Struthio camelus: one gene and its partners. The protein of the gene in region 1 binds, or shares a complex with, the protein of each later gene. Links are inferred from orthologs where the notes say so. Each region holds a gene or a part of one and is shown in the gene's direction. Other genes may lie near its edges. The genes, in order: PIGP, DPM2 and PIGH.

What was found.
Region 2: PIGP (region 1) and DPM2 share a complex: the UniProt entries of both Homo sapiens proteins name them as parts of the glycosylphosphatidylinositol-N-acetylglucosaminyltransferase (GPI-GnT) complex. The link is inferred for Struthio camelus from reciprocal best matches to the Homo sapiens genes PIGP and DPM2.
Region 3: PIGP (region 1) and PIGH share a complex: the UniProt entries of both Homo sapiens proteins name them as parts of the glycosylphosphatidylinositol-N-acetylglucosaminyltransferase (GPI-GnT) complex. The link is inferred for Struthio camelus from reciprocal best matches to the Homo sapiens genes PIGP and PIGH.

Annotation. Positions count from the first base shown.
Region 1 is NC_090942.1:122,278,524-122,282,267, reverse strand, and holds the start of PIGP (phosphatidylinositol N-acetylglucosaminyltransferase subunit P), read left to right. Parts: upstream 1-1,106; 5' UTR 1,107-1,335; exon of another isoform or gene 1,336-1,549; intron 1,550-1,674; 5' UTR 1,675-1,693; coding exon 1,694-1,775; intron 1,776-3,023; coding exon 3,024-3,096; intron 3,097-3,645; coding exon 3,646-3,744. Other genes in the region: E3 ubiquitin-protein ligase TTC3, read right to left, coding at 74-148. UniProt on the Homo sapiens protein: Part of the glycosylphosphatidylinositol-N-acetylglucosaminyltransferase (GPI-GnT) complex that catalyzes the transfer of N-acetylglucosamine from UDP-N-acetylglucosamine to phosphatidylinositol and participates in the first step of GPI biosynthesis.
Region 2 is NC_090961.1:7,728,878-7,732,621, reverse strand, and holds the start of DPM2 (dolichol phosphate-mannose biosynthesis regulatory protein), read left to right. Parts: upstream 1-1,029; 5' UTR 1,030-1,621; coding exon 1,622-1,630; intron 1,631-3,140; coding exon 3,141-3,230; intron 3,231-3,744. UniProt on the Homo sapiens protein: Regulates the biosynthesis of dolichol phosphate-mannose. Regulatory subunit of the dolichol-phosphate mannose (DPM) synthase complex; essential for the ER localization and stable expression of DPM1.
Region 3 is NC_090946.1:46,555,359-46,559,102, reverse strand, and holds the start of PIGH (phosphatidylinositol N-acetylglucosaminyltransferase subunit H), read left to right. Parts: upstream 1-858; 5' UTR 859-1,141; coding exon 1,142-1,318; intron 1,319-3,172; coding exon 3,173-3,382; intron 3,383-3,744. UniProt on the Homo sapiens protein: Part of the glycosylphosphatidylinositol-N-acetylglucosaminyltransferase (GPI-GnT) complex that catalyzes the transfer of N-acetylglucosamine from UDP-N-acetylglucosamine to phosphatidylinositol and participates in the first step of GPI biosynthesis.

The DNA of each region.
Region 1 (3,744 bases):
TATAGATGATACCTAGGTATAAAACCCATTGGATCATCTTGCAAGCCTTTCATCTAGTTCCAAACCTACTTACCAGTTCACAGCAAGATTTATCACCAGCATAAAAAGCCATGGCCGCAGATTCAGATTCGGATATAGGCTCAGCCATGGTGCATAATACTGAAAAAAAAAAGATTATGAGAACCACACGCGGGTGGGGGAGAGAGGAAAGGAATGCACTTACTTTACAGGAAATAAAATGATCACAACATGACATTACGATTTGTGATAGCTTCACAGAAAACATGCACTCGTATTTTTACGTGACATAGTTAAACTTAAGAAAAGCATCCTAAAGCGTTAGATAATTGTTCAAGTTAAAAACTACTTAAACTGACTAACAACTCCAACAGTTTTGCAAGCGCCTGGTCCCTGACAGCACTCCTATTGCCTCACGCCTAACAGGCAGGAAAGGGAAGGGCAGTGTCTACCAGCCGGGGAAGGGTGCAACAGCAACTAAGCCCCATTTGCCACATCCAAAGACAGCGGCTCTAAACACCCCGCGTGACAGAACCGCGGAGGCCTCCCGTCGCCCAGAGCCACGCTCCCCCTCCTGCCAGCTCGCCCCCCACCGCAACCCGCGGGCCGCTGCGCGGAGCCCGGCCGCCTCGCCGCCACCTCCCGGCCCCAGCAGCAGCCGCGCTTCTCACCAGCGACGTGTCGCAGCCCCACGGAGCCGAGGCCACACCGCCCTGCCCGCTCCCGTCCCCCCGCACTGGCTGCGCTGGAGCCCGCCCCAGGCGGGCCGGGCCGGGCGTCACCCTCCCGGCCCCAAGGCGGAGGCCGGGGGCAAGGGAGGGGCACGAGCTTGGCACCGCGCGCAGAGGGGGAGGGGAGCGCCCGCCCCGGCCTCAACGCCCGCCACTCACCGGACCCCGCCACGGCCAGCGCGAGACCAACCGCCACCCGCGGCGCCGCTGGGCCCAACGCTGGCCCCTCCCCCCGCACGTGCCAGCCCCCCCCCCTCACCCGCCCTGGCCCCGCTATTGGCAGGCTGCCTTCTGACGTCAAGGGAGAGAGCCAACGCTGGGCTAGAGGTCTCCGGCCGCCGCGAACTCGCAGCTTTTGCGCATGCGTCTGCTTGCCGCGGGAGCTGGCAGCGGGAGAGGCGGTGCTGAAGCGCGCTTTTTCCGATTACGCATGCGCCAGATACACGGCGCCGGGCGACCAAGGGGAGGGGCAAGTCAGGCGGGTCGGCGCCTCTTTTCCTGCTGTCCTTAAGGGCGCCCTGGGTGTGGTTTCCTTCCTGAGGAACGCGAAGGGAAGGGGGCGGAATGGCCTAGCCGGCCGAGGCAGGTAGCAGGGGAAAGAAAGAAGGAAGGAAGGAAGGAAGGGCTGTGGGAGATGGGGGTCGGCAGCGCCGCGGCTCCCGGCCGACCGTTGAGCGGCGCGCGGGGCCTTGCGGGCTGAGCGCATGCGCAGCTCTCCCGCCACCGGCAGGCGCGTGCGGGGAGGGGGGAGGTGGCCACCGGCGCCGGTTGGTGTGGGGTGCGTCACGTCTGCATGGGAGGTAAATAAGTGATTTGTGTTGTCGTGTTTCCCCCCCCCCCCCGGATCCCCGCACTTGCGTGTAATTCGTAGCGAGACTTACCAAGCAAACCTGTAATACTTCTCTTTTTGTTTTCCCCCCCGAAGTTAAAGGGAAGAGACCAGCATGGTTGAAAACTCTCCAGCCCCATTGCCAGAAAGAGCAATATACGGCTTTGCCCTTTTTTTAGGATCTTGGTTTGGCTTTAGTAAGTATATTGTGTACTGAATAATTCACTGGAAAGTATTGTTCTGCTTAGGAGAGAAATGTAATTCCAGTTGGACCATCTCAAAAGGGTGACGATTACAATTTCTTGCCAGATCTGTGAGATGTTTTGAGAATCTAGCATTACCTTTTGTGATCCTTTCATGTTTTGTCTGTCTTTAATACTACTATGGGATTAAGTGCCTATTTAAAAAATTCTCGGCATTCTAATTTTAGTAACTTTTTTACTTGAATTACACATACAGTTGCTATTGTGTAACCGCAGCGTCCCCACCCCAGCCCCCCAAGTGCCCAAACCCTGGATATTAAAGGTTAAGGCGCGTCTGGTTAACAGCAAAGGAAAATGACCAGCCCTACCAGCTTTCTCTGCTGATGTGACAGATGCTGTAGCATTTCTCTGGGGATGTTTTACATGCCCACACAGGACTAAGATAGCCTAGAAAGGGTGAATTAAATGAGAACACCTTTTCAACAAATGAAAAGGTATTGCAAATAGATTGTAGTTGAACAAAAAAGTAGGATTCTTATGTAAGTCTTCAGTGTTTCTTGGAGGTAAGTGGCAATGCAACTAAGTTGGCTTCCGTTTTTCCCAGTGTTAGTTCTACAGAGCAAGCCTCTGCAGTTCCAGATTTTGTGTCACTGTTTGGCTACTAAACTCTTCATCTCAGTTCTTGTTAAACCTTACTCTGAATTTGTTGTTAGGGAGAAAGATTTTCAATGTTGGTTATGTTAACATGAAGATCACTGTTAAACTTACCAAGAGACTGAAAATATTTTCAGTAATTATTTTTTTCTGAATTCAGTTCTTCCATCCAAGCCCTGCCGTTCTACCACCTCTTTTAGTCGTATGACCCACTGTATAATCACTTTGTAATTTAATATTGTCTGTATGCAGAGAGTCATTTGGCGTGCTTTTGCAGAATCTTTTTGTTTTGTAGTTCCAAGACTGCATGAAATTCTTGTCTTGCCTACACAGGAAATCAAAAACTAAATGTTAAACACAAAAATGGTAGCATATAATGAGGTACAAAACATTGTCCCCATATTCGGCAAGTTTTGTGTATGAGCGATATATTCTGCAATGTCATGCTAGAGCTACCTGGGTATAGATTGTGTGAAAGTGAAACACTATCACAGTATGTATCAGTATGGAAGTATTGCTCTAAAACTTAAGGAAGAAGTCTAAAACAGTATCGGTTGCACTGTTTTGATTTTTTAATTCTTTGTGCAGTTCTGTATCTTATCTGGGCATACGTTCCTGAGACTTGGCTATTCTCTTTGGGACTAACATACTGGCCTCAAAAGTAAGTTCAAACAATTAAACTCTTAAGCCTGAATAGACGTACATTTATAACACCCTGAATTAATTTCAAATAGCAAATAGCGAAACTATACATGTATCTTTTAAATGGTGGCCTTGCATTTGATACATTTTTCCTGATGATAAAGGGCTATCGTTTTTGTGAAGCATTACTTTATACCGATAAGTAATTACGATAAAAAATATTTTGTTGTGTAATGAAAGAAGTAGTATTTATTTCAGTGTTTTGTGATAAGTTAGGAATTCTGTCTTAACCAAGTTTGCCGATGGAAATACAATAAATTTTAAATTGTATATAAAAAACAAAAGCCATCTATAAGGAGTTTGTGTGACTGTTTATAACAGGCTGGCTACAGTGACTCCATAGTTAGTAGTCTTCCTGGGAGGAACCAGGGTCCATATTTAGTGGTGGTGTTTCTTTTCGTCCCAGCTAAGTTTGTGCTGTATACAATAACAGCCAGTACATTAAAAATGTTATGTCACCAGACATTTTGTTATTATGATAAGTAAATTTTAAAATCTTATTTCTCAGGTACTGGGCAGTTGCATTGCCTGCGTATCTACTAGTTACTCTAGCAATCGGCTATATCTTGCTTTTTGGTATTAATATGATGAGTACAGCTCCACTCAA
Region 2 (3,744 bases), on another chromosome or scaffold:
TGGTGCCACCAGAAATGTTGGCAACGAGGGTGTCGGCTTTATGGGTCAGAAACTGCGGTGACAGAGGTTTTCTTGGCTTTGTCCCTGTGGCAAGATGTAAGGGGGGGGCAGCAGCAGAGCTTTTCTGATGCGTTTTCCTCCTGTTTGCGTGTCCCCTTTTTTCTCATGGCCCTGGGCAACCACGAGCCCGGGGGTCGTTGGCAAAGTCCACTGCTTAAGGGTTAAAAAAGAAAAAAAAATCTCAAAATGGTAGTAGTTCAGGGTTTTGTGGGAAATTATTTTTTCATAAATCCCCTCACTCCCTCTCTGGTTGCGATCACAGTCCTGGACATCTCCCTGCTAGATCTATCCCAGCTGGGCCTGCGGCCGCGCAAAGGGAGGGGGATGAGCACGGCGGCCGCCGCCGCCTTCCCCAACCGCCCGCCGAGGAGCGAAACGCCCTCCTGCCGCCCTGCAGCGAAGCGACGGGGACCCAGCGGCGCAGCCCGAAACGGCGGCCACCTGGCGAGGGGCAGAGCGGCCCCCGGCCCTGCCCGTCGCCTCCAGGCACTGCGAGCTGAGGGGGGTCCGGTCTGGCCCCGCTGCCCCCGGCTGCGGGGCACCGCTTTAAAAATTGCTAAGTATCAAATTAAAAATAGTAAGAACAATAAAATGTATATTTAAATTATTAATAAATAAAATTAGGTCGATATTAAAATTAAAGTGCGGTTACTGTAGGAAGTGGTGAATTAAAATGTTGGAATAAAGAAGTAGCCTAAAGGAGCCTCAGGGCCCTGTGGCCACCTCCCTCCCCCCGGACTACACTTCCCGTGATGCTCAGGGTGGGGGGCGCGCCTACATTTCCCACAATGCCGTGGGGGCCGGAGCCCTTCCCCGCTGATTGGCTGTCTGCCGCGAGCGTGACGGCGGGCTTGCTCCCGTCAGGCCCGGCGGGCGGGCGTGGCTGAAACGCTGCTCGCTGATTGGCTGAAAGCTCCCGGAAGAGCGCTGCTGGCGGGGAGGGAACTCGGAGCTGCTCGTCGCCATGGTGAGTGGGCGGGGGGGAGTCTGCTGCCCCCGGGCCGTCGTGAGGGGCCTGGGGCGGGGGGAACCCGCCATCTCGGGGGTTGTTGCCCCTTCCGTGCGGGCGTTGGGGTCTGGGGGAGGCTGTTGCCCCTCTTTGGGGGGGTGTTTCCCTCTGTGGGGCGGAAGAGGTGGGGGGAGGTTATTGCCCCGCTGTGGGGGGGTCGTTGCCCCCTCGCTGTGGGGCAGCAGGGGGCTGAGGGGGTTGTTGCCCCCTCGCTGTGGGGCAGTGCGGAGTTGCTGCCCCCTCCGCTTTGCCTTGCAAGCGCCGTTTCCCCCTTGACCTCCTCGGGCCTCAGGAGCGCGGAGGTTGGGGGCCAGCTGTGAGCGCTGGTTCCTTTCCCCTGCATCTCTCCCAGAATCACGGAGCGGTAGGGGTGGGCAGGGACCTCTGGAGATCGGCTGCCCCAACCCCTGCTGGAGCAGGGTCCGCGGGAGCAGGCTGCTCAGGGCTGTGTCCCATTGAGTTTTGACTATCTCCAGGGCTGGAGATGCCACAACCTCTCTGGGCGACCTGTTCCAGCGCTCAGCCACCCTCGCAGTAAAGAAGTTTTTCCTCATGCTCAGAGTGAGTTTCCTGTGTTCCGCTTGGTGCCTCTTGCCTCTCGTCCTGTCACTGGGCACCACTAAGAGTGTGTCCCTGTCCTTTTGACACCCTCCTATCAGATATTTTTACACACTGATCAGATCCCGTCCCCCCGAGCCTTCTCTTCTGCAGGCTGAACAGTCCCAGCTCTCTCAGCTCCTCCTCATATGAGAGATGCTCCAGTCCCTCAGTCATCTTTGTGACCCTCCGCTGGACTCGCTCTAGGAGCTCCATGTCTCTCTTGTACTGGGGAGCCCAGCCTGGGACCCGGCACTCCAGGTGTGGCCTCACCAGGGCTGAGTAAAGGGACAGGATCGCCTCCCTCGACCTGCCAGCAATGCTCTGCCTGATGCAGCCCAGGTTACCATTGGCCTTCTTGGCCACAAGGGCATAGTGCTGGCTCATGTCCAACTTTTGTGTCTACTAGGACTCCCCAAGTCCTTTTCTGCAGGGCTGCTCTCAAGCTAGGTGGCCCCAGCCTTTCTTAATGCATGGGGGTATTCCTCCCCAGGTGCAGGACTTTGCACTTTTCTTTGTTGAAGGACTGTTGAGGAACTTCGGAAAGTTCTTCTCCGCCCATTTCTCCAGGCTGTGGTGGTCCCCGACTGGCAGCACAGCCCCCTGGTGTATTAGCCAGTCTTCCCAGTTCCTTCCCAGCTCCCTCGCTCCTGTAGCTGTAGTGCCCAGTGGCCCAGGGTGACCTGGCTTTGTGATGAATGGCACTTTGAGCTCCTTTGGAGGCAGTGAGCCTCAGCATGTCCATACTTGACCCGCTGGTGTCACAATGGAGTTGGGTCATGGCTCGTCCTCTTTAACGCTGTTTTAGCACAGAGAAGGCACTGAGTGTGAAGACTACTCTGGAGCTGAAGAGGGAGGCAATTTAGAAGGGGCCAAACTGAAATTTGGCCCGGAGTACCTGCCTCTGACAAGTACTGGGGTTTTCATGGTGTTAAATGTTCCGACTCTTCATTTTGCGTGTTCCTCAGGAAATAGCCCGAATAGCACAATGCCTTCCGAAGTGTGGCGCTTTATGCATTGCAGGCTTACGGATAGAGAGTCTGAACCCCTCCCAGTCCCCGGCAGTCTGTCTGGGCTTTTCCAGGGTTTCCGTCTATCTGTTGCAGTGATCGGACCAGGTAGCCTGAAGCCTGCTGGAGCTCAGCAGAGGGTTGTGTTGGTGTGGGCTGGGAGTTAGTACTTCAAAGCAGTTCGTCAGAATTGCTGGAGTGTACAACTTGTGTGTCTGCTGTAGCGGCAGGACACGAAATCCCTGACCGTTCCAGAGCAGGAGGGCACGGCTGTTCTCACTGAAGCACTTGTGATAAATCATTTTTGCTGCCCAGGTTTCTTCCCTTGCGTTCTTTTTTTCTTTCAGTACTGCAGCCATACGTTCTTATAAGCTGGAGCACGATAAATAGCATATGCCCGTTAACTGTTCCTGCTCAGACACCACAACGTGCTGATCCTGCTCTGACTCTCTCTTACTTTGCAGGCCACAGCAACAGACCAGGTGGTTGGATTTGGCTTGGTAGCCTTCAGCCTTGTTCTCTTTGTTTACTACACCATCTGGATCATCATACTGGTATGGGTCTTGCTCTACCTATTGTAATCTCGGTAACTTGGCTGCTGTGTTTGCCTAGACTTTATTTAGGTGCCGATGTGTCCTTGTGTCTGAAAGAACTCTGCTTTGCTAGCTTCCTGGTGAAAAATGTCAGTGTAGAACTTCCTGTAGTTTGCTGGTGCACACCTTGCTCTTTCTAGGTGTGCCTGCCCTTGTCTGGGTAAGATCAAGCTTAGACTCTGCCACCTGCCCTGCTGCTCTGAGACAGACAGGTTTGGCCAGTGTAAAAGTTGAGACTGACCTGAACAGTCATCGAGAGCTAAAGCCTGCCATTCTGGAGGTGTCGGATAAGGATTGTTGTCATGAATGTTCATTTTTGCTGTCTTCTGATTCCTGGTTCTGGTGGGAGGTGACAGGGGGAAGTATAAAAAGAGACTCTACTTACTAAATCTGGAGCCCAGTAAGGAGAAGAGTTTAGGGAACATGGAGCTCTAGAAAATTGGTTGCGAGCCGGACAGTTTGTCCACTTCCCCGA
Region 3 (3,744 bases), on another chromosome or scaffold:
TACGAAAAGGAACACGTTACAAAGATCCATTAATTAAAGTCTTTGTATACAAAGCCAAGTCTCCAGTTTATTAGTTTTTGATAATATCATGTACTTAGGTGGCAAAGAACCAGAAAACACTGCTTTAAACTTTGCAAAAATAAATCACTAACAAGGCTGTTTTCAATTAAGAGTCTGTAGCTGAGGACAGCACAGACAATCACAGAATCACAGAATGGTTTAGGTTGGAAGGAACCTCTGGAGATCATCTAGTCCAACCTCCCCGCTCAAGCAGGGCCACCTAGAGCCCAGGATTGTCTCCAGACAGGTTTTGAGTATCTCCAGCAAAGGAGACTCCACTACCTCTCTGGGCAACCTGTTCCAATGCTCTGTCACCCTCACAGTGAAGAAGTTTTTTCTCAGGTTTAGGTGGAACTTCCTGTGTTTCAGTTTGTGCCCGTTGCCTCTTGTCCTGTTGCTGGGCACCACGGAGAAGAGACTGGCCTCATCCTCTTGGCACTCCCCCCTTCAGATACTTATACTTACAAAAAGAGGCAGATTTTTTTTTATACTAGAAACTGGCAAACGGTTAAAAAAAAGTCCCTCTTCATCATGGTAAAAGACACACAAAAGGGCCTGTGTTGTTCAACCCTGTTATTAAGACCCCAGAGGGAGCAAACAGGGAATTATCACGTTTGCAAATCGTAGCGGTTACCGATGTTGATGCAGATTAGACAAAAAAGCGCTCCACAAGCTTAACCACGCCCGCCAGGCCGGCTGCCCCGCCACCACCCGGACGAGCTGGGGCGGGCGCAGCCCCCGCGGGCCACCTCGCTGCCGGACACGCTCACTGCACACGCGCGGCGCGCCCGCGGGGGGGGGGGGGGGGGAGCTCCCGCCGGGACGCCCTTTGGGGCTCAGGCCGGGGGAGGGAGGCGCCTCGCCCGCTGCTGCCGCTGCCGCTACCGCTGCCGCCGCGCCCTGCGCACGCGCGTGGCCGTGGCTTCGCGCCCCGCGCTCCCCCGCGCGCACGCGGAGGGAGGAGCTCCCCCCCCCTCGCCGCGGAGAGGAAAGCACCGGAAGCGAGGGGAGCCGCACCATCGAGACGAGGGCCGGCCGGGCCGCTCTAGGCCTCGCGCATCGGCGGTTCCGGCCGGGCGGCATGGAGGAGCGGTGGTACCGGGCGGTGTCGGGGGCGCCCATCGCGCTGCGGTGCCGCCAGCACAGCGCCTCCTGCCGGGAGCTGGCGGTGCGCGGCCCCCGCCTGCAGCTCCGCTCGCTCAGCGCCGTCACCTCCTCGGTGTGGCTGGCGGCCTACGGGCTCTTCGCGCTCAGCGAGGTACCGCCCTGCGCCTCCGGGGCCGCGGCCCGGCCCGGCCCTGCCGCTCGCCGCGGCCCCGGGGAGCCCCCACCCGCCGGGCCGGGCCGGGGGGGAGGCGAGGGGGGTCTCGCCGCCGGGCGCCCTGCCGAGGGAGCGTCGTTGCTCGTGCCTCGCTGGGTCGGGGTGGGCGCGGCGCGGCAGCCGGCTGCTGGGGGCCCGCTGGCGCAGCCCCAGCGCCCCCGGCCGCTTCTCGGAGGCCCCGGTTGGTTTGTAGCTTGCCAGCTAGGGTAGATTTACGCGTGGGCGCTAGCGCGGCCTTGTGAGTTTACTCGGAGAGAGGAGGTGCGGGGACGTGGGGTGCAGGGTCCCTCCAAGGAGGTGAGTGATTCCTAGGAAAACCCCTCTGGGATTTTTCTGAGTGGAGCAAAGAGCACTGCACTACGAATGTCATTTACTTGCTCATGTTGCATAGTTGAGTCAACAAGACCTTGTCAGACAGTACAGATTTCAAAAGCGGCTGATAAATCGACAAGTATTGGCTTAGATATCTGATCTTTGATCCATGCTAACAGAGGAGGACTGCCTTCTGGACTCAGACCAATACTTTCACCCTGAGATTAAAGTCAAGAGCTTGGCTTGACTGAAAAGGCTGATCCCTGTGACCAGCACTATGATACACATCGCACTTCAGCTTTCTCAATAATCTTTCCCAAAGAGTGGAGACGGGGACTGAGAGACATAAATCAATTGGCAATGTTTCTGGTATGAAAAGATGGCTCGTCATCCTCTGGCTGGAAGGGGAGTTGTGGTCCAGTCTTATTTTTTACAAAAGCATATATCCTGAGCCAGCAGTTACCACCAGCTGTCTTCCTGCATGATTTTAAGTGAGTGCATGCAGCTTGTACGTAACTAACTGATTACAATCCTCCCTTTCTGCCAGGAAACCAGACCTGAAGGTCTTCAGCCTCTTTGTAGATTTCAGTGTCTGTAATTCTCCACTGATTTCACCATGATGACGAGCTCTGGGAGGAGTCCAGTATCCTTTCTCTTTGAATGCAGGCATGGCTTCTTTACCTCATATAGTGGTACAGTCACTAGTTGAGCTGGAGGGCCATGTAGCTCTGGTCCTTTGGGAACTGTCAGTTATGACTTTGATTTACAGGATGTGGCCTTTGGCTCTCTAAAACAAGTCCCAGAGATAGGTTGTAGGTTGAGAACATTTGGGATGTATTACCAGGTCTTCAGATGACTTACTGTTGCTTATAGTTTTATCAGTTAGACGTTATTTTATGTAATAGCTAGCAATCCCAAACTGCAGCATGCAAAAGACAGATTGTTCTCAGGCAAAGCTCGGAAGAAAGCAAACAGTCTCTAGAAGGGAGATGAAGTTTGAACAAGTTTAGACTCTCAGATTATAAGAAGAAAACTTGGATCTCCTAGGTCTTAGTCCAGATCTTTTAGCAAAACAAATTCTTTCCGCTCTGAGACTCCACCCTTAGCTCTAGTAAACATTTAAAATTTCTCTATTAGGTTGACATCACTTCTACAGATGTTTGTATGACATGCTGTCTTCTCTGATGCTCCTCACTGTTTTGAATGGAGTTTCCCGCACTAAATTTAGACGTGGATGAAGTTTTGTTGCTCATTTTGGTTTCAGTTCCCAATTCCTTCAGATCATACTATGGAGACTTGTGTTTGGTAATTTAAACCTCATTACCGGCCCAGTGAGTGCCCTGCATACATAGAGGACTCCACTTAATTAAAACTGCCATATAACTGTAGCCTTAATATTGTGGTTTACTCTGGAACATTACTTTGTATAAAGCAGTGTGTTAAGACTGGCGCTCTGTCTTTCCTTGGTTTGTGTTACAGAATAGTATGGTGCTTTCTGCTGCTATATTCATCACGCTCATCGGCCTGATTGTATATCTGCACTTTGTGAAGATTGACCAGGAATCACTGTTAGTCATTGGCTCACTCGGCATTCAGGTGACTTCATCCTATGCTTCAGGGAAGGAGAGCACAACCTTCATTGAGATGAGTCAGGTGAAGGATGTGGTTATCAATGAAGCCATCCACATGGTAATTGTATACAGTCTTTCTTCATGTGTATCTTTAGGCACACTTTGATCCAGCATGTTTTCATGAGAGTGGTTTACCAGAGAAAGTAAACACAGCAACATCTATAGCTTTGCTGATGTCAGGGGCTTTGTTCCAGATTTCTCTTTTTATTCTATCATCTGTTTTCTTACCTTTCAAGGAAAACTTAAAGCAAATATCCTCAAAAAGTCAAATCCATCCCTTAGATAATGCACTGAGCTACTGGTTTTAGTTCTTCCTGTTACACTGTTCTTATAAATTCCGATGTAAAACTCCGTAAGTATTCAATAAACCATAAGAAGATGGACCACAACCAAAAGAGGTGATTTTTTTTTTTTTCCTCA